Linked DNA regions of Lonchura striata. The protein of the gene in region 1 interacts with the protein of each later gene in a biochemical or structural test. Links are inferred from orthologs where the notes say so. Each region holds a gene or a part of one and is shown on either strand. Other genes may lie near its edges. The genes, in order: HNF4A and SREBF2.

Region 1 (9,290 bases):
CAGTATATGCTGAAATGATCTGTCTGTCCCCGTGTTTGCAGTTCTTTCCCTACCACTTTTGCAGAGCAGCTACTTATTTTAGCTTCAATAATTGCCTCCAGGCCCAACATCATCCCAGCTTCTGCTGAACTGCACATGTTGCTTTTGGAGAGGAGTTCAGGCAGTCTTATACCTTCTTTACAGTAACTCTTCCCCATGCCCAAAAGCTGCCTCAGTTCTCCATATGAGAATTTTGTGGTCTGGGGACTAGGACAGTATTGGTTGGTTTGGCTACATTTTGATAATAACTCTGTTCAGAAGCAGCCTAAGGTTGCAAGGAAGCTGCCTCTGTCACCCTGAGTTGTGCTGGGGAGCCTGGGGTGCCAGCACATGTCACATGATGATCAGTGACAGTATGTCTGGGGTCTGCACAGGGTTTGTCTGTCCTGGCCATTGCCCCCAGCTCCAAACAGCAAATCTGCCCCAACCCCAGTGGCAGGCACTTCAGCCCTGGGGAAAGTAAATCACCAAGAGTGATTGCTGTGGAACAGGATGATAAAATTGATTGCATCTTCCCCAGGCAAGGTCTGGCACATGGCTGTGGTCTCCTTCTGCCTCTCATTGCTGGATCTTTCTAATCCACCTCCCTGGATGGAGCTGGTGGCTCATTTTCACCTCTACAAAGTGTTTTGCTCAGGCAGGGATGCGCAGTGTGCAGCTGGCAAGGGGCAAACGGACCCTAAACAACCTCTGCTGAATCATCTATTTCCCTGGAGGCTTCTCACAGCTTCTGGGGATGTTCTGGGGAGGGACATGGGAGCAGATTCCCATCTGTGTGTCTGTCATATGATTGCCGCGAGCAGAGGCAAAGATCTACCCCATGAGCTGGGGGCTTGGGCAGCTGCACTGACCTGCAACATTACAGCCCCAAAAAATTCCTTGGAGCTGCTTATTAACACACTGACAATTCTGCTCTGGAGTCACAGCACGCCAAGGTAGAAGGCAGGAGGGTTTGACAGTATGGCCTAAATACCTCTGTTTACAAAAAGTCTGACAAAACACAAGCCCTTGGCTTTATCTTTCCCATTTGGAAATAGTCACCGAGCAAATATACTCAAGGCATGAAAGGAGGGGGGTTTATATTGACTTTAGAAAAAGCTGTTCTTTAAAAACAGGAAAAAAAGCTCATCCTCGAGCTGTGCAGACTGGCTGCGAGACCCAAAAGAATCAGTGTAGGGGCTTAAAGCATGCCTGCTAATCTGTAGCAGTTCTGTGTGAGCAAGTCATGCAGTAAACTGCTCTCTGTTAATTTTTTAATGCAGAATAAACAGGTCAAGAAATGATTAGCATGAGAATAAGTTGAGCTTAATTGAGAGAATCAGAAAAGATGAGAGGGAAGAGCAAATTGGAGTTATCAGTTAACTATACAGAGTGGCTCTGCCTCCACAAGCTCATGTTCCCTCTAGTTTATCATCCCCTCTGAAGCTGCTTTTTTTTCCCCTTCCCTTACTTAAATGATGAACTAAAATTGCTGGTACAAGCACAATGGAAGCCCTTGTTTCTCCTTCTCCTTTTCTCTCTTCAATGGCTGGCCAAATGAATTGTAGGTGATAAGGCTCCTACCTGGTTATTCCCGAGGTTCTTCCCAGAAAGAAGCTGCTGACATTAAGTACAAAATCCGCTTTGTGAAAGTACCAGTGCTGTGCTCCAGTGCAAAATTTTCAGCATGATCCTGGGAGATCCAAGGACTGAGCAGACACGTCCGTGGGCAGGGGGAAGAGCAGTCCTCGGGACTGCTTGAAGTGGAGTTTGGTCAGTGGTCGGAGATCTATATTCTCAGATAGGCAGGACTTTGTCCACAAACTGGAATTTGAAATTTCAAAGGGGAAAAAAAAAAAAGGCAGAAGGGACCTTTGCATGTGTGGAGATGACTACGCTGGTGACGTTCCCCTGGGACTTTTGTTCTTTGTCTTGTACCTGGGCTTCCTGCTTCCCCACAGCTCGCTCGTGAAATGGCGACGGGCCGAGCAGGGCCCTGACCGTGCTCAGGGCTTGGCTGCTCTGCTGAGGTTCCACACCTGAGCCCATCTCTGCTTTGTGTGCATGTGCGGGAAAAAAAGGCCATGTGAAATATTCCAGCTCTACAGTGGCCTTGGAGCTGGGAGTGACGGGGAGCAGAGCTCTGGAGTCAGGGCTGCCAGGCCAGCGATGGCATTGCCGATGACAGCTGAGGGGAGTCCTGCTGGCCCTGGGCTCTGGCTTTTCTGCCGGGCACTTTATAAGAGTGCAGAGCTGTGAGAGAGAAAAGCAACGAGCAGGAGGGCCCCTGGTGATGGTCCATGCTCAGGAAGTCTGCAGGCAAGCCCAGACTGGGTGCCTGGTCGATCCACTGGCAGGCAGGGCTGCATCCTGCAGCAGCGGGGAGAGATGGGCCAGCAGGAACTGCAGGAGCATAACACACACAGGAGCACTTGAAAAGATGGGCCCAGGCTCGTCCCAGGGTGCATGGCTGGAGAACAAGGGGCATAAAAACTGGAGAGAGGTTCAGCCAGTGTCTAACCATGAGCACAGTCAAGCACCAGCTGGCTGCCGAGGCTGCTCTCCATCCTTGGAGGTGTTCAAGACCCAGCTAGATAAAGCTGCAGGGAGCCCATGCTGCTCTCACGGTTGGCCCTGCTTCCAGCAGGAGCCTGGGGCAGAGACTCTGAGGTTCCTTCTGGCATCAATTATCCTCTGATCCTACAACACCCTGTTCAAGAATCACCAGGGAGGAGCCCCTTGAGAGGAGCCAGCTCACCTGCTGGACATGCAGAGTTGGCAAGCACAGTAGGTGACAGCATCCTTTCCAAAAATGCCCTATTAAATACTCTGTCCCTGGTCCTCACCTATTGAGAAGCACAGATCTAATTTTCAGGGAATCCCCTTTAGGTTTGCATAAATTTTCCAGATGGGGGATATATAGATAAGGCAGAATTAGTGCCATGATGTGCCAGTGTGGGAAAGGATTTACTGCTCAACAGATAAAAATGAAATAATCACTTGACATAGAACAGGTCAAACCCCATAGCTGTCATGGTTTCCTTTGCAACCATGACTTGACATCGGAAACAGTGGGTGGAGTGTACAGAGAACCAGGACAGGAGAGAGGAGCAGATCTGAAAGATTAACTTCTCTGGAGCACCTAGTTTGGGAACAGCCTTCACTTATCAGTGGGGGTTTTCCAGCTATGAGTTGTCTCTCTGTGTGGATAAGAAAGGCAAGACGCCTTCTGTAGCCAGAAGTGTTTGAAACAGCTCCACAAGCAGCTGCTGACTTGAACATCTCCCACCTAAAACAGCTACAGACCTGTGGGGTCCTGTTGGTCAGTACAAGCCAGTGCAAGCAAGCTGTCCCAAAAGTCACCACATGAGGATGCCGGGGGAGACAACCATGAACTTCCCAGGCAAAAGACACAAGGGGAGACTTCACCTGCAGCAACAGTGCCCAGGGAGCAGCCAGTGCTTCCATCAGAGCTCATCTCCAGGGCAAAGGAGGTGTGTGGTGTCCTTGGCTGGTCTGGCCCTCGACCTCCACACCAACATGAAGGATTTGGGAGGGGCAACTGGTGACCCACAGAGGACACTGGTGGTGAAAAACAGCAGTCAACACAGTCCTGGGTGGAAAACACTGTGTCCCATTGACAGCCCCAGCCTCGTGAGCCACCTAATGCTCTCCAAACTTCCCTGCTCCTTATCTGCCTCTCTCCTGCACATGCTGCCTCTCTGATTTCTATTCCTGGCCCTTCTAATCCTTCCTGCCTGGGAAGTAAATGGCCTTTGCAGCCCCCTTGCTCAGCAGGCTATTGATGCAAAAGGTTTGTTTTGCTGAGCAGAGCAGAACGGGCCTTGCTTTTACGATATTTTACTAGACGCTGTGGCAAATCTTGCACATATTTGACCTGGTGTCTGTAGCATTTATCTAATCAAAGGGATCACCCTGGCCTGGCCAGGACTGGGGCTGAGGTCCCTGGGATAAGGCTATGGAAAAGGCTATGCTCTATTCTTGCATCTCCATCCCAGTCTGCACATCATAAAACCAATTTTTGGCAAGGACTGTATCTGCCTAAAGGAAGAGCCACCAGCACATGAGCTCTGGCCTGTCCCTCAGGAGCACTGACAGAATCACTGTTTCCCCTGCAGCAAAGGATCATTTATCACCATTCCCAAGTGAGAAAGCAGGGGCTCTCCCCTGTGCTCAGATTCACTCTGGCAGAACTGCAGCCTCAGGGTAGAAGAGCTGTTCAGAAGTGATATGTAGGTCATGGCTTTGGGGGGCAAAGGGCTGCTTGAACAATTCCGTGTGCTCCTAAAATGTGAATAGAAAATCTAGCACAACTGCCCAAAGGCATGTACTGGTGTGGAGCCAGAGACCTTGGATTCATGCTGTGGCAGTGATGGCACTATATCCAGGGCAGCTTATGGTGCCAGTGGGGTTGGGGCTGCATTGGGGTGCCTGGGAAGAACAAACACAAGGCACTGGGAGCCCAGATCAGCAGCGTGTGGACTCAGTCGCTGCTGGTTGCGAAACCACGGGGCTGTTTTCAATGCAGAACAAACTGATACCAAATCATTAATTGCTGATTCTCTTGCATGAGCCAGTGCTATTCAGAAATCAATTAAATTCCCGCTCAATGATCTCAAAATTGAGATCTGAGTCTCAATTAAGACTGAAAAGTCTCAGTTCTGGCTGAAGTGGAGGAGTGATGTCCCACGGGGCAGCTGGGGAGGAGAGCACAGACAGCTCTGCCCAGCACCAGTGGGGTCAGAGCCCAGGTCTGGTGCTGTAAGCAGACAGTGCACCCGCAGAAGGAAAGCTCCTGCTGCTCTGTTGGAACCTGTCTCATGAAACTTTTATAGCAGATCAGCCAGTACCCAAGGCTGGGGGTGTCAGCACACAGTGATTTCAGCTGTGGGACAGGAGCCACCCTGGCCATTCCCAGGGTGTCTGTGCCACCCCTCAGCCCCCCTCGCTGTTTGGGTATGGCTGCAGAATGGGATCTGTTTATAGGGCATCCAGCCTCCTGTAAAAGTTGGTTTATAGGGAGGTAAAAGGAGTCATATATTTCACTTTACATAGCAACGTGTAAATTTCCAGGCAGGAGCTGACCTTCTCTGACCATGAGGGAGAGAAAAGAGGGAGTGGAAGGGATGGAGGGAGCAAGAGAAGGGAAAAACAGAGGTGTAGGCAATCAGTGCTGAGGAGAGGAAGGCAATGACAGAAGTGGCGAAGAACCTTGTACTCTTGGTAGGGTTTTTTCCAAGTTTTCCACCCCAGGTATAATTAAGAGCAACACCAGCAGCTTAGCATCAAGGTCAATAGATCTTGGTGAGTGCCTGCTCCTGTGGTGCTGCCTGCACCCAGGAGCCAGGATCAGAAACGCCTTGAGATTCAATAATAAACAATCAACAAGAATCACTGCTGCTCCACCAAAAAAAAAAAAAAAAAAAAAAAAAAAAAAAGCTTAGCAGTATTCAGCAATGGGTGAGATGATTAAAGATTAACCCCCTGCCTCCTGCCTCCACCCCTCTGGGAGTATAGGCCTTGAGGCTCAGCAAATCCTTTCAGAGAAATATCTGAATTAAAAGACAACAGGTAGGGGACGCAGTGAAGGCAGAGGGAGGCAGGAGGGCCAATAGCCTGGGACAAGGGAATCGGTACAATCTGGCCCGTGTTTGCTGAGGATAATGCGCCTTTCCAAAGCCCTCATAGACATGGAGATGGCAGATTACAGCGCAGCGCTAGACCCGGCATACACCACCCTGGAGTTTGAGAACATGCAGGTGCTGGCGATGGGCAATGGTGAGTCTCCTCCACCTTCTCCCCTCTGCTGGGTGGGATGAGCTGGGGGCTGCAGGAGAAGCCCCTGGGGTGGCCACAGAAATGTTCCCGGGGAAGGAAGGGCTGTAAGATGGGGAGCTCCCAGGGAGGGTTCTGTTTCCCCAGGGGAAAATAGAGGGGAGAGAGCAGAGCTGTGTTTGGTACAGGCAGGGTGGTGTCCTGCAGCCCAGCAGGCCCGCTCCAGGAGCTGGCTGAATGAGAGGTCCCCTCCAGACATTCAACCCAGGCAATGGGGCTGGGACTAAACAAGGTGGGGGTCTCCCAGACCCCAGCCAAAAGTTTCTGCATGAAGTGCTGTTGATGGTTCACCAGACAGACAGCTGACCCTGTGTCTCCAGAGCTCAGAGTCAGCTCCTAGAGCAGAAAGGCATTTAGCACCTGGTAAGGGTGGAAATCACTGTCAGAAGTGATTTAGGCACTGCCGCTGCAGCTGCTGTGAGCCACAGCCCTTCCCCAGTGCAGCACTGGAGTGTGGGGTGGCATGTCCTTTCCTGCCTCAGCCCCCAGTAAGAGGGACAAGGGGACCTTGAGAGGATAGATAAATGTTCCCATCCCTTCTGGAGGGTAGCATCACACTTAATCCTCCAGAATTCACAGAATTCCAGAAATCCCACCCATCTGGGGACCAAAGAGTCTTGGTGATCAACTGTTCAGAGATAACAAGAGATTCCTCTCCAAGTCCCCCCTGAAGTCTCTCTAAATATGAGGTTAATGACTAAATGAAGCCACAGAAAGTGGCCCTCTGAGCCCTTTCCTTCCAGCCCTCCAAGCCCTTTTTCTTCCAGACTGCTGGACACCTCTGTCCCAGAAGGGCTGTGCTGGCTCTGTGGACTCTTCCATCACAGCCTGTGTGGGTCCTCCCTGGGTTATGGCTCTGTTCTGTCAGGGATGTAACACAGCGGTGGCAAAGTGGCTCTGCTGTGCAATAACCCCCCACCACTCTGGGTCCCAGCCCCTTCTCCACTCCTGCAGGCTGGTCCTACCCCTTCAGGTGCCTTAGGGATAGAAGTCACCCCCTTTGGCTCTGTTGATATCCATCTGCACACTCTGGGACAAGCTCAGGCCCTGCTCCCTCTCCGTGCCCCACTCTCATCCAGCAAGCATCTGCACAAGGAGCTGTATTTGCCCTGGACACAGGGCTGCACGGAGCAGAGGGACAGGATAATTTCCTGTGACAAGATCCAGTGTGCTGTAACACTGGGTGAGTCAGCTGGGGCAGGCAGCACCAGCTCCTCTCCTCCTGGGCCCAGCTCCAGGCCAGGGACAGCCCTTGCTTCCAGGGCTGTTTTGGCACTGCAGCAGCTGCTCTGAGGACACACCTCCTGCAGGACCTCCACCTGCAGAACCTGTGCCTCTTTTGCTGGAAAAGCACTGCCCAGAGCCCAGCCACTGCCTGCCACAGCTCTCCAGCTCAGCCCCAGGGCTGCTGCTCAGCAGGGACCACGTTTGCCTCTCACAGAAAAATGCATCCTGTGCTCAGACAGGCTCAGGGACCTTCTGAGCAGCTCCTGTCCTAACACAAGGATCAGCTGCAAGTTCTCAAAGACAGATTTTTTCTTTCTGCCATTTACCTTAACTCCAACCACTTGATTGCAGCCAGCCATAGCCCACATTTTTGGCACATATTTGGCAGAATAAACTCAATTGGAAAATTATCCATTAGGCAATAATTTCATTGTTGTTGACTATTAGACTGAGATGTTGCAATTTCTTTGATAAGAGTGCCAGTTTTTCCTGCTCTATGTTCATCTGATTACAGCCTGATAGATTGCTAAAAAGGGATTTATCTGGGCTGCCACAGATATACAAGTAATGGGATTACAGGCAGATCAGCTCTTCCTCTCACATCTAAGTCCTATGTTTAGCTGGAACTGAGAATTTGACTTTCCTTCTGGAGTGAGCTGCATTTAGCTGAGCCCTCGGGATATTCATGGAGAAAGGTTCTTTTCAAGCTGCTCACAGGAGCAAAAGACAGCCAGGATAGCCTTGGGAAAGCTCAGAGCTCTGGGAGTGGAGACAGGAGCTTTGCACTGGTGCTGCTGGAGCTGCGTGACAGGGTGTGCCAGGCAGGGACACAGAGAGGCAGCTAAGTGACTCACAGTGAAATACAGGAGGGACACAGGAATTGGAAAGACAGAAAGCAGGCAGGGAAATGAAAGGCCCTGCCAGAGGTAGGGAAGACTCAAAAATCCCTGTGCTGGTTCACTGCTGGTTCTGTGCCAGTTACTCCTGCTGAGGGATGGCATGAGGAGGATGTGCTGCACCTGCTGAAATTCCCTTTTCTCTGTAAAATGGAAACTAAAAATGCAGTCCTCCCCCAGCCAGACTTGCCTTGGCCCCGCCAGCACCACAGCTGGGCTACCATGGGGAGCCCAGCTGGGACCAGCCCTTCTGCTGGGTGCCAGGTGGGAACAGCTGTGGCCCTTCCAGGGTGAGCCTTAACTGAGTCCCTACAAAAACCCAGAAATCAGGAGCCAATCGACTCAAGCATTAAAAATACCAGCAGGTTTCTATAGCTTTGTAGATCCTGTGTATGATTTGTGACTGGCTTTTCCACTGAGGGAGGGGGATGTGCCTGTGCTGACACAGAAAAACTTACATGGGAGGGGACAATTAGATCAACTGAATTAAGGGCTGATCCCTTCAGCCTTGAGGTTTGTTTGGCTTGCTAGAGGGGTTTAGTGTAGCCCTTGTATGGTTTTTAGCCTTTCAGATGTCCTTTCCTCCAGAGACTGCTGCAATTCCCTACCCTCCAAAAAAAGCCCTGCAAGCCCCAGTCCCCCTTGGTCTGCAAGGACTGCAAGACAAATCAATTTCCACTGTGATCTTACCAGACTCTGGAAGATACCCAGCCTACAGCCTTCTCCATGCCAGAGTGCCACCTTTTTTCTTTAATCAGCCCTTCCTTGCATGGGTAGCCTTTGCCCACGTGAGTTTTCCAGCTGAAGTCATTTGAGTTTGCTATTTATCTAAAGTCTTGTTTTCCCAAAGGGGCTGTGCAGGCTGGGGCTCCATGCCTGGACAAGGGAACTGTTCACCTCATCTGCTCAGGGCTGTCTTGGGCTCTTTCAATGTAACAACACAAACACCTCCCTAACAAATCAGCTGCTCACCCCGAGCTGTAATACCTCCACTTAACTCTGCATCAGCTTTTTCTCTGGCCACACTACTGCAGCCCAAAGTGTCTGCAAATCCCCAAGGAATTTTGGCTCTGCCTTGTGACTCCTGCAAACGGGCTTCCACTTTATCTGAAGGCACTGCTTCAGCCAGGCCTTTGGAAGAGGGGTCTCACTATGGAATACAGGGAGTTTTAGTGCACCTCAAAATGCAATTATTTAAACACTGAGAGCTTACACACTCTCTCTGGCCGGCCCCTGCCACAGAGCCAGGCTGCAGCTGCCTGGTTTCTCCAAGAAAATCTGACTGGTAGCTGA
Region 2 (9,605 bases), on another chromosome or scaffold:
TTTTTGGCAGGGTGAAGCAGTCTCTTGGAAGCTGACCAGGCTGGTAGGTCCAACAGAACATCTGTTTGCCTGGGCTGGAGAATTTTCTTTACAGCCTTGGCTTGTTGGTGTGCTTTGTGGCATTCAGGATGGCTGGAATATGGCTTAAGCCTCACACCACAGTGGGAAAAGGGGACAGACCCCAAACTTGGCATGGGGATTTCTGCTGCTGTCCTGGCTCTGCACTGTGTCAGAACAGAAACATGGGGCACATTGCTGAGCCTACACCAGGGGCAGCCATGTCTTCATCAATAATGCTGGTTGTATTTACTCTGGTCTGTTCCAAAGCACAACAGCAAAGTATTTCATAGGGTTTCTCATGTTTGTCTGACACTGTTCTCCTGCCTTTGCCAGGGGTGTGAAGATGCTTGGCTTGACCTCGGCAGGAGGTACATGGTGGGAGCTGCTGCTGATCCTTGCAGGGCTGGGAGAACTGCTGGTGCCTGCTTTACCTCTTTCATGGGCTTGGAGTTGAAATTGTATTTGTTTAAAAAAAGAAAAGCAACAAGAAAAGAACAAGAAGGGATTTGTTTTTGTTTCAGTGTTAGGGCATTACAGAGACAGGTTTGGGCAGGCAAACTTGGACTCAGTGGGTCATAGGGTGAGGTCGGCTCTGGTGGCCTTACACATCTGCTTGTCCTTTGGGGGCAGGAGGTGGGTCAGATGCCTCTGAAGGAGCTGTTGCTTTTGTAATTGCCAGTGGCCTGTGCTCACCTCCATGAAAACCTTCTGCCTGAGGACAGACCACCCTGAGTTCTGCTGCCTGGGGACTGAGCTGTTGCTCTCCTTTTCCAGGTATAGACTGTCCAAGAGGATCCTAATTTTCAAGGACCTTTTCCTCCAGCCATTGACTTTGTCTGAGGGACCTTTGTGGTCAGGAGCAGTTCTGCCCAAGAGCATCCCTGCAAAGCCTCAGATGCTGCCTGGGAAAGGACTTGTTTGGAAGTGGGGGGAAGTTACCACCAGGTCACCCAACTGTTTCTTGGTGTGGGACCTGCAGGTGGCACCCAACTTGTAGTTAAGGAAAGAGTCCAGGTACCAATACCCCAAGTGCTGAGTGGAGGTCACTGAACTGGTTGTGTTGGGACTTGAAGGAGAGATAGACTTCAATCCCTCAGTGATCCTTCTCTTCCTTCCAGACCTTCTGTTGTGGTTGTTGGGCTGCTCTGCCTCACAAACCCAGCAAAAACCTAGCTGTTATTTTTGGAAAAAGGGGTAGGTCTTAAATTTTCTATTGGGTCAGTGCTGGGTCAGATGCCTGGGGCTGGCAGTGCAGACAGGCAGAGAGAAGAGGGAGACCAGGGCTTCACTTGCAGGGGAGAGCAAGCTGGCTGCAGCATCACCATGTGTCTCTGCTCTGGCCACTAGATCCCTCATGGGGACAAGGGAGAGGTGGGCAAGGACCCTGGTGCCAAGAGCAGTGTGCCATCAGTTCCAGGTGGCTTTGTGACTTCTCATTTTGATAAGTCTCCTCACTGATCATTGGTTTTGTTGGTCTGTTTTCTTCCAGGCTGCAAAGGCCAACATGGATTTTCTCATCATCTGCCCCTTTCTACTGGCCTTGCTGCTGTCCCAGGGCAGCTTCACAGACCTGGAGAAACAGAGAGTAGACTCTGGCTTGGAAATCTGTATCCTCTGCAGCCTGCCACCCATTACCACATACGCACTAGTGGCTACAAAGGCTGGAGGGAGCACATGCACAAGGAAGAGGTCAGAGACCATGGAAAGGGGCACAAGGAAGTAGAAAAGAGAGGATCCAGAAGCACTGGGAAGTTGCTGCTTTGTCCTTCTATAGTTGGGCTTTAGCCAAGCTCCTGGGCTTGCTAACCAAGTGCCTGGCTTGGTGCAGGAATAGAAATGGCAGTGATGCCTGGTGTTCTTTCTGCTCCGTTGTGCACATTTCCAGTCTGCTCTTGGAAGTGGCATGGTCAGCCAGAAGGCAGAACACACCTGCACATCTCAGTGCTCTGGGGTCACCAACTGGGATGGTGGAAGGGGATTCTTCTGCTTGTGGCATTTTAGTCTCCTCTGTGCTACAGGCACTTTTTGCCTGTGAGGAGGTGAGCTAATGCAAGCCCTTCTTAGCACACATCTCCTGGTAAACAGGCAAAGTATGAAAAAATGAATATGTGGAGACACATGGGGAAGGTGCCAGTTGATGTTCCTCCTCCAGCCCATCAGCCAGAGCAGAGACTGGCAAGTAGAAAGCTCCCCACAAGGTCTCAGCATTGTTAAAGGCCCTGCTGGGGTGTTTGGGCAAGGGGTTCACTGGAAATCTGTGTTTTATCCTGGCTCAGGTTCTGCCCCTCAGACACCTCATGGAGAACTGGGGGGCCTGGGATGGTGCCAGGGGCCCTGGGGAGGAGGGGGAGAGCAACAGTGTGGTGGGAGAGTGTCAACAGTGCCCTTGACAGCAGTGCAGATAAGAAGCTGTTTGAGGTGAAGCGCAAGGACCAGATGAATGCTCTGAAGAACTTGATTGAGCTCAATGACGTCAACCAGCAGTACAAAATCATTGACATCATGCTCAAGGGACTCTTCAAAGTAAGCCACAGTGCACTCTGAGCCCACATGGGTGGGCAGAAATGGGAAGGGTTGGGGGCTTCTGTGGAGTGTGTGGCAGGTGAGCTTTTGGACCTGAAGGAAGGATTCCATGGGGTTTCAAAGTGGGGCAGCTGTGGCAGCACCTCCAGGACAAAGCAGTAACCAAGGACTTTGGCAGGTGCTGGAGGACTCCCGTGCTGTCCTCATAGCTGCTGATGTGCCTCCTGATGGGCCCTTCCCTCAGGATGAGAAGATAAAGGATGGTATGTCCTCTCTAGTTTTTACCCCTCTCCTTTTTCTGGTGCTCTGGTGCACCACAGACATTCTTCCTGGGATCAGTATGGGGTAGGTACAAAACCCCTATGTATCCAGTCCAGACCAGGGCTGGTCCCTGTCTGCTGGGGACCGTATTGCTGCCTCTCTGACCACTTCATGCTGGGGAGCCTATTGGTTTGCCCTCAGTCTCTGCTGATGGAGCTGGTGGCTGTCCCCACAGCATATTCTCACGTGGTGGAGAACACTGCCTTCTTCGGGGACGTCGTCCTGCGCTTCCCCAAGATTGTGCACCATTACTTCGACCGCAACTCCAACTGGAACAGCCTCATCCGCTGGGGCATCGGCTTCTGCAACCTGACGGGTGTGTTCGAGCAGGGACCCCACTCCCAGGTCCTGCGGCTGGTATGGCTCTTCGTCCCCCGTGCCGTGACCCCTCTCTGCTGCTAGGCTGGGGGAGGTGAGGGTTTTGGGGTAAAAGGAAGGCAGGGACCCCACATGTCTGGGGGCTGTCCTTGAGCTGAGGGATGGGGGAAGAGCACAGATGGGACTGGTGGAAGAGAGGATGCAAGTGGGAGGCACCACTCCCCAGTGAGGTTTCCCCTTTGCTTTGCAGATGGCTCAGGAGCTAGGAATCAGTGAGAAATCGCCCGATTACCGCAATCCCTTTAAAACGGACCAGTCAGAGGTAAGATGGCAACCGTGCCAACTTGTCTTGTGGGCCTCCCCATCTGTGTTACAGCTCCAGGCAGCTGGCTGGGGAATGGAATGGGAGGCCTGTGGGAAATGGCCAAAAGACCCTGTCACTGAATAAGCATGGCTGAAACACAAACACTGAATTCCCCATCTGTGCTCTACTTTGGGCACCTGGTGCCCTCTCCTCCCTTCTGTAGCCACCTGCCTCGTGGTTGGCCTCTGTCTGCCTCGTGCTGCATCCATGCTCAAAGCTCCCTGGACTGTGAGGCTTGTGGACTAGCTTTGGTGTGTTTGGAGGGGCTGTGCCTCTGGGAGGCTGTGGGCACTGCCCCGTGCTGACCCTTTGCTATCAACCCACAGTTTTTCCCCAGTGCTGACACCTTTCAGAAGGCGCTGCGGGATGAGGAGAAGAGGAGGAAGAAGGAAGAGAAGCGGAAGGAGATCCGCAAGGGCCCACGCATCTCCCGCTCACAGTCGGAGCTGTAGCATGCTGGGACTTGTGCCTTGCAGTGGAGGTGACACCACTGAGACACAGAGTGGCTTGCTCCCTTTTTGGCAGCTTTGGGCCGGTGCCTGGCCATTCCCTTTCCATTTGTGCTGTGGGTTTTGTTTTGTTGCCTTTTGTTTCTGTTCAGTGAAGGTTGCGTGGTGGTGCTAGTTGCCCCGAAGGGGCTAAAGTGAGATACCCCTTCTGCAGAGGTAAAGCACAGACAGGACAACACTGGAGCCATCCCCTGGTCAGGGTGTTGCTGCCTGTGGGGAAGTAGGGTGTGGGGGACACATCTCTGGTGGAGCCCAGGGAACCCTCCTCACTGCAGCACACCCCACACTGAAGATGCCTCCTCCAACACGGGTGGGCTGGGGCGTGCATCACACCAAACAGCCTCATGAGCAATGCTGCTTCTCTCAGTTTTGCTTTTTGTTTCGTTAAACGAGTGATCTCATTGGCACCCCCCACTGGGTTCTACCTGGTCTCTGCACAGCTGCTACCTCTGCCAGATCAGACCTTCCCTTTTCCCAGCGGCTGTTTCACCGAGCAACATGTGTTTCATTGTCCAACGTAGTTGAAAATGTCAATGGCAGCTGTTCCTGGCTGATGGCATGTTGGGGCCTCCGCAAGTCATTCCCACAGAGAGGCAAATGCCCGGTGAATTTTTGGACAGTTTGGAGGAATTTTGGTACTTGGCCTCTTTGCAGCCAGTGGGTGGCTGTAGTGCAAGCAATGCTGATGCTGAAGAGGCTGGGGAGCCAGCCCTGAGCCACTGAGAGCCTGTCCTGCAGCCATCCCTTCTCTTTGGGGCTCATCCTCTCTAAATGAGCCCCCAAAGCCCCTTGTCAGGGGGCAGCCAGATGAGGGCATGTGGTGATAGCATGGCCAAAATAGGGAGGGAGCCAACTTGAGTGGCTGCGACCCTCCACCAGGTGTCAGCTGCCATGGGGAACAGAGCACGACCCGACACAGCCACCCTGTGATTTGTCACCTATGCTGATGGCCTCGCACCAGAGCAGGCTCTTGCTTTCCCAAGGAGCTGGTTTGCTGTGTCAGGCTGGCAGCATCACAGCCTTTGAGGAAAGGGAAACATCCCGGGTTTTTTAACAGCAGAGCCAAGTCCCTCCATTGAGGAGAGGGGGTGGCAATGGGCGCAGTTGGTTTTTCTTGAATAAAATTAACTTTATTATTTTTTTTAAGTAGAAGAATCCTGGCTCTTGCTCCCGTTCCTGGTGGGAGCGGGTGTACGCCAGAAAGCGTCGAGGCTGGCCTCTCCGGAGGTGAGGGTCCGTGGGCGGTGCGGAGGGCAGGACCATCCCCCTGCTCTATCCACCGCCGCCTTGCATCTGGCCTTTCCCCGCGCATCCCGGCGGCATCCCGGGGCGCGTTTCCCGTGGGCGGCGGGGGCGGTGGCGTCAGCCCGCCCCCTCATGAATATTCAGCGCGGAGGGGGCGGGGCGGGCTATGCTAATCGCAGCTGCTGATCGCTGACGCGCCATCACACCACGCGCCGCCGCGGCCGCCGATTGGCCGGGGGCGACCTGGTCTCATTGACAACAAACCGCGGGGGGCGCGCGCGCCGGGGCCGCGGGGGCGGGGCCGCGGGCCGGCCCAAGATGGCGCGGGGTCGGCGGCGCCCGCCGGCAGCGGCAGCAGCCTCCCCCTGAGCGCCCGGGGCCGCGGCGGGCCCTGCGCGATGGAGGGCGGCGAGCTGGCCGCCGAGAGCATGGACACCCTGACTGAGCTGGGCGACGAGCTCACCCTGGGCGACATCGACGGTAGGCGCCGCGGGAAGGAGCGGGGGGGTTGGGTGGGGACGGTGCGCGTGGGCTTCCCACGCATATCAGGGGGAGCGCTCCGGTCTCCCCGCGCGGACCCGCGGCTGCTGGGGTAGGAGGCGGGGGTGGGTGGTCCTTGGATCGTGCCTCTGGAGTGTTCAGGGTGGGGGCGCTTCCCACGCGGTGCGGGCTGCCACGCGCGCGGGGGGAGCGGGCATCCCGCGTCTCGGGTGGGCACGGGCGGGGGAGCGGAGCGCGTCCCGCCGGGCAGCGCTCGCCTGGCGAGCGGACACGCGTGTCTCTCCTGTCACGGGAGCGCTTCTGAGCTGTTTCCGTGGGGCTGCCGCACGCCTGGAGTGGAGGCCGGAGCCGCAGGAGGGCGGTGGGGCTGTGGGGATCCGAGCTGCCGAGCCCACCCTTGCACCGGTGGGGGTCGGGGAAAGCGGTGACCGTGCTCCCTGCTCCTGCCGCACATCCACGGGGCAAGCGGCGGCTGCCCACGTTCCCCTCGCGTTCCCTCGTGGGTCTTTTAAAGTGGGTGCTAAACGATGGCTGAAGCTGTGCCTCCACTGGTGCCCGTGGGAGGCCGAGCCTCCAAGCCCTCCTGCATCGGAACAGCTCTAACTGCTGAAATTTCCCGTTTTCCCTGTCATCCTAAAACTTTACTGCATCGCTGGCACAGCCCAGACCTGTGAGAAACCCCCTGTTTTCCACCGAAGTGCAGCAAGATGAAGTGCCTGCGTGTGTCGCCTATTTTATGTATATTTTTGGCGACACCAGGTAGCCCCTGAAAACCCCATTGAAAGTGATATTTCTCGGTGTAGTCTGTGCTGTAGCCTGGTGGAGATGAGCTCCTGCCTTAGCTCACTGCTCTGCTGGGCTGTAATCCCAAACAGTGCTCAGTTTTGGGGCTGTCTAAAATATCCTTGTTTAGCTGCTGGGAGATAAAATTTTATCAGTACTTTTAGGTCTCTCTTGACACTGATTTGTCACATAGCTTGGGACAAAATTTATATTCCTTTTTTTCTTTTGTTGTAAAAGAAGAATGTGCCATATGCGGGTGCAGTGGGTTTGGTTATTGCTTATAAAGTTTGATAGTGCACATTGAAGGAGGTGTTTGCTGTTGCTTGAGCACCACATAATGAGTTCTCAGGTTCCATACGGAAACTGAGATGCATTTATGAACCCAGCAATGGCTCTGAACTGAGGTGTGATTCAGAGTGATGAGTAACTTAGGAAAACGAGCTTCACTTTCCTCCCCACCTCCAGGGGTGGATTTTCTCAGGGAAGGCAGGGGGAAGATACATGACAATCCTGCTTTTTTTGTGCATCAGCATGGATTCATCTCAGGGTTTGAAATTTTGCAAGGATTTTCATTTGGTTTTTAAGTCGTCTTGTGGGTGTTCCTCTCCTGTTCAGACTGAGGGGGCTCCTCACTGCCTGTTGTGTGGATTTTGACTTCTTTTGGCAGATGTGCTCTGAGATGTTAGTGCTCACTGGATTCATACTTCAAGACAGGGCACAAGGGTGGCCGGGGGGCCCGAGTGCTGAGCCCAAAGGCTTTGCCTCTTGCCCCAGCATAAGCTCCTCCACCAGTCATGGGCATCTTTTGCTGGCAGGGCACTGCTGGGTAACATCAGAGTACGAGGTTTGAGTCAGTGGGAGGTCGAAGCACATCAAGGTTCAGGACAGAGAAGTTGTTTCTGTTGAGGTGGGAGCCACTGCCTGGGAAAGGCAACTGAAACCCAGCCCTTGCCTTTCTGCTAGGTATTCAGGCCCTGGGCTGATGAAAGCAGCAGAAGCCCTTGGTGGGCTTAATTTTGATTTTGTAATACCTTGTTGACATTTTTTAGCCTTGGGTTGGGCTTGGATATTTTTCTACAGTAAGGTCACTGTGCTTCAGGGCCTGAGACCTAGATACCTCTTCGGCACAGAGGGTGCAGGTGCTCTGGTGACACTGATGGCTCCAGAAGCACCTGAGGTTTCTCACAGTCAGTGTGGATATTCTGCTTTCTAGGTAGGCAAAGGTGTTTTAAAAAGCAGAGATTTAGATTTTGGGTGTCAGCTGTTTCTCTTGCTTTTAATTTTTTGTGCGTTGTTATTAGGAAAGCTCTTGAGCCCTTTAAAAGAGGTGGATTTTAATTAAGACTGCCAGACTTCCTGGCAGTCTTAATTCTGAAAAAATTAAGCTTTAGACTTTTTGCATTCAGTCAAATTTAAGTCTGTCATAAGTAGTGATTTAACTTACAAGAGCAGGAGTAGTTTTTTAAATAATCTGTTAAATCTACTGCATTGAACAAAAAATTCTTTAAAGCACAGCAGTTGAAATTTTGTTCTTATGCTGGAATTTACTCTTCCAGAGCAAATCTTATCTGATTTATGTTTATTCCCTACTTGCAGTTGTGCTGTCTGATAGTTAAATAGCAATCAAATGCAGAGTTCAGGAAGTAGTCTGGATTATTAGTTTTATCACGGTGAGGGTTATTCGGGATGGTCTTAGCTGAAGTCAGTTGGAATGTGAAGAGCTATTTAGTATCTATCTAGATGTTGATCTTGAAACAGCCCTCTTTGTTCTGCTAGTGTTTTGTGAAAGCAGTTAAGGCAATGCATTAAAAAAAGAAATCTTTCATTCCTCTAGTGAAAAGTTGAGACAAGGGTTTGGTCCAGCTGGTCTCCAAGGGTGGCTGCTGCCTCATCTTGGGGGAGCTGTGCATCCCCACTTAGTGTCAGGTTGTGAACAGGTCAGGAGGGCTCATCTCCCAGGCTCCTCCCTCCAATAGACTCTCGTTCTTGAGAGCAGTGGTCATGGCCAGTGCTTAAATGTGTGTCAGGGTGTGGAAGGATTGCTATCCAAAGAGAAAAGTAGAAGTATCGCAGAAATGTGTTGGAATGTGTGTTGAAGGACCAAGAGGCTTGCAGGAGGATTCATCCCTTTGCTCTGTTTCAGACAAAGGAGTGTCAGACAAATTAATTGGGTAATGTGTGGGTGGCATTTCAGAAAGCTGAGTAAATTAATAGCCCTCTTATTGCTGGGGCATAATCCATGGAAACTTCTTGTCAAAAGTTTACTGCTTTAAATCTATTTCATAAATCACAGCAGTGACATGCTTTGGGGTTTGTGAATGAGAAAGGTCCTGGTGTAAGAAGCCCTTTGGTGTGTTTTTTCCTATAAATCAGAAATCTATTTTTTGCTTCCTGAACCCATATTTATTATTTTGTCATAATCTCTCTTAGATTTGTGGGTCCCCTCTTTTCCTGTTTCCAGAAAAAATATATAGGACTTTCAGAAAACCATGGAAGAGCCAGTGCCTCAGGGGCAGGTCCTGGGGTGGGGAAGAATGTCTGATTCCTCATGCCACTGCCTGCACACAGATCAGGGAAAGCATTCATATGTCTTAAGGTATTAAATTGGATTAGATGGAGGGAAGAGGAAGCTCTGCTTATGAATAATGATCTCTTGGTTGTGAAATGTTCACCTCTAGGGGGAAGGCCTATAGTGTTGCAGTAGGAGCTTCTTGATATGGGTTCATAAAATCTTGGAGAAGGTGGGATGGAGAAAACCTCTTGTCCAGTGATTGCAGGCAGAAAACCAACCAAACCAAGAAAAAGTTGTTCTGATGTTTTAAACACATGCATGGATCGATCATGGTACAGTTCTATAAAGTGGTGTTTCCTTTCATGGTTTTGCCCCTATTTTTGTTACGCTTGTAAGTAAAAGAAAGAGAAGATGAGTTATTACCCTGTCTCTTTCTTTTCCAGATACTCCATGGGGCAATACAGAAGAT

Evidence for each region.
Region 2: the proteins of HNF4A (region 1) and SREBF2 form a complex in vitro, tested with the Homo sapiens proteins (2 studies listed by BioGRID and IntAct). The link is inferred for Lonchura striata from reciprocal best matches to the Homo sapiens genes HNF4A and SREBF2.

The regions. Positions count from the first base shown.
Region 1 is NC_134619.1:9,001,617-9,010,906, forward strand, and holds the start of HNF4A (hepatocyte nuclear factor 4-alpha), read left to right. Parts: upstream 1-5,595; 5' UTR 5,596-5,702; coding exon 5,703-5,817; intron 5,818-9,290. UniProt on the Homo sapiens protein: Transcriptional regulator which controls the expression of hepatic genes during the transition of endodermal cells to hepatic progenitor cells, facilitating the recruitment of RNA pol II to the promoters of target genes. Activates the transcription of CYP2C38.
Region 2 is NC_134607.1:58,257,972-58,267,576, reverse strand, and holds the start of SREBF2 (sterol regulatory element-binding protein 2), read left to right. Parts: upstream 1-5,648; 5' UTR 5,649-5,738; coding exon 5,739-5,820; intron 5,821-5,879; exon of another isoform or gene 5,880-5,932; intron 5,933-9,605. Other genes in the region: CCDC134 (coiled-coil domain-containing protein 134), read left to right, coding at 1,565-1,667, 2,462-2,583, 2,762-2,846, 3,080-3,261, 3,473-3,544, 3,913-4,038.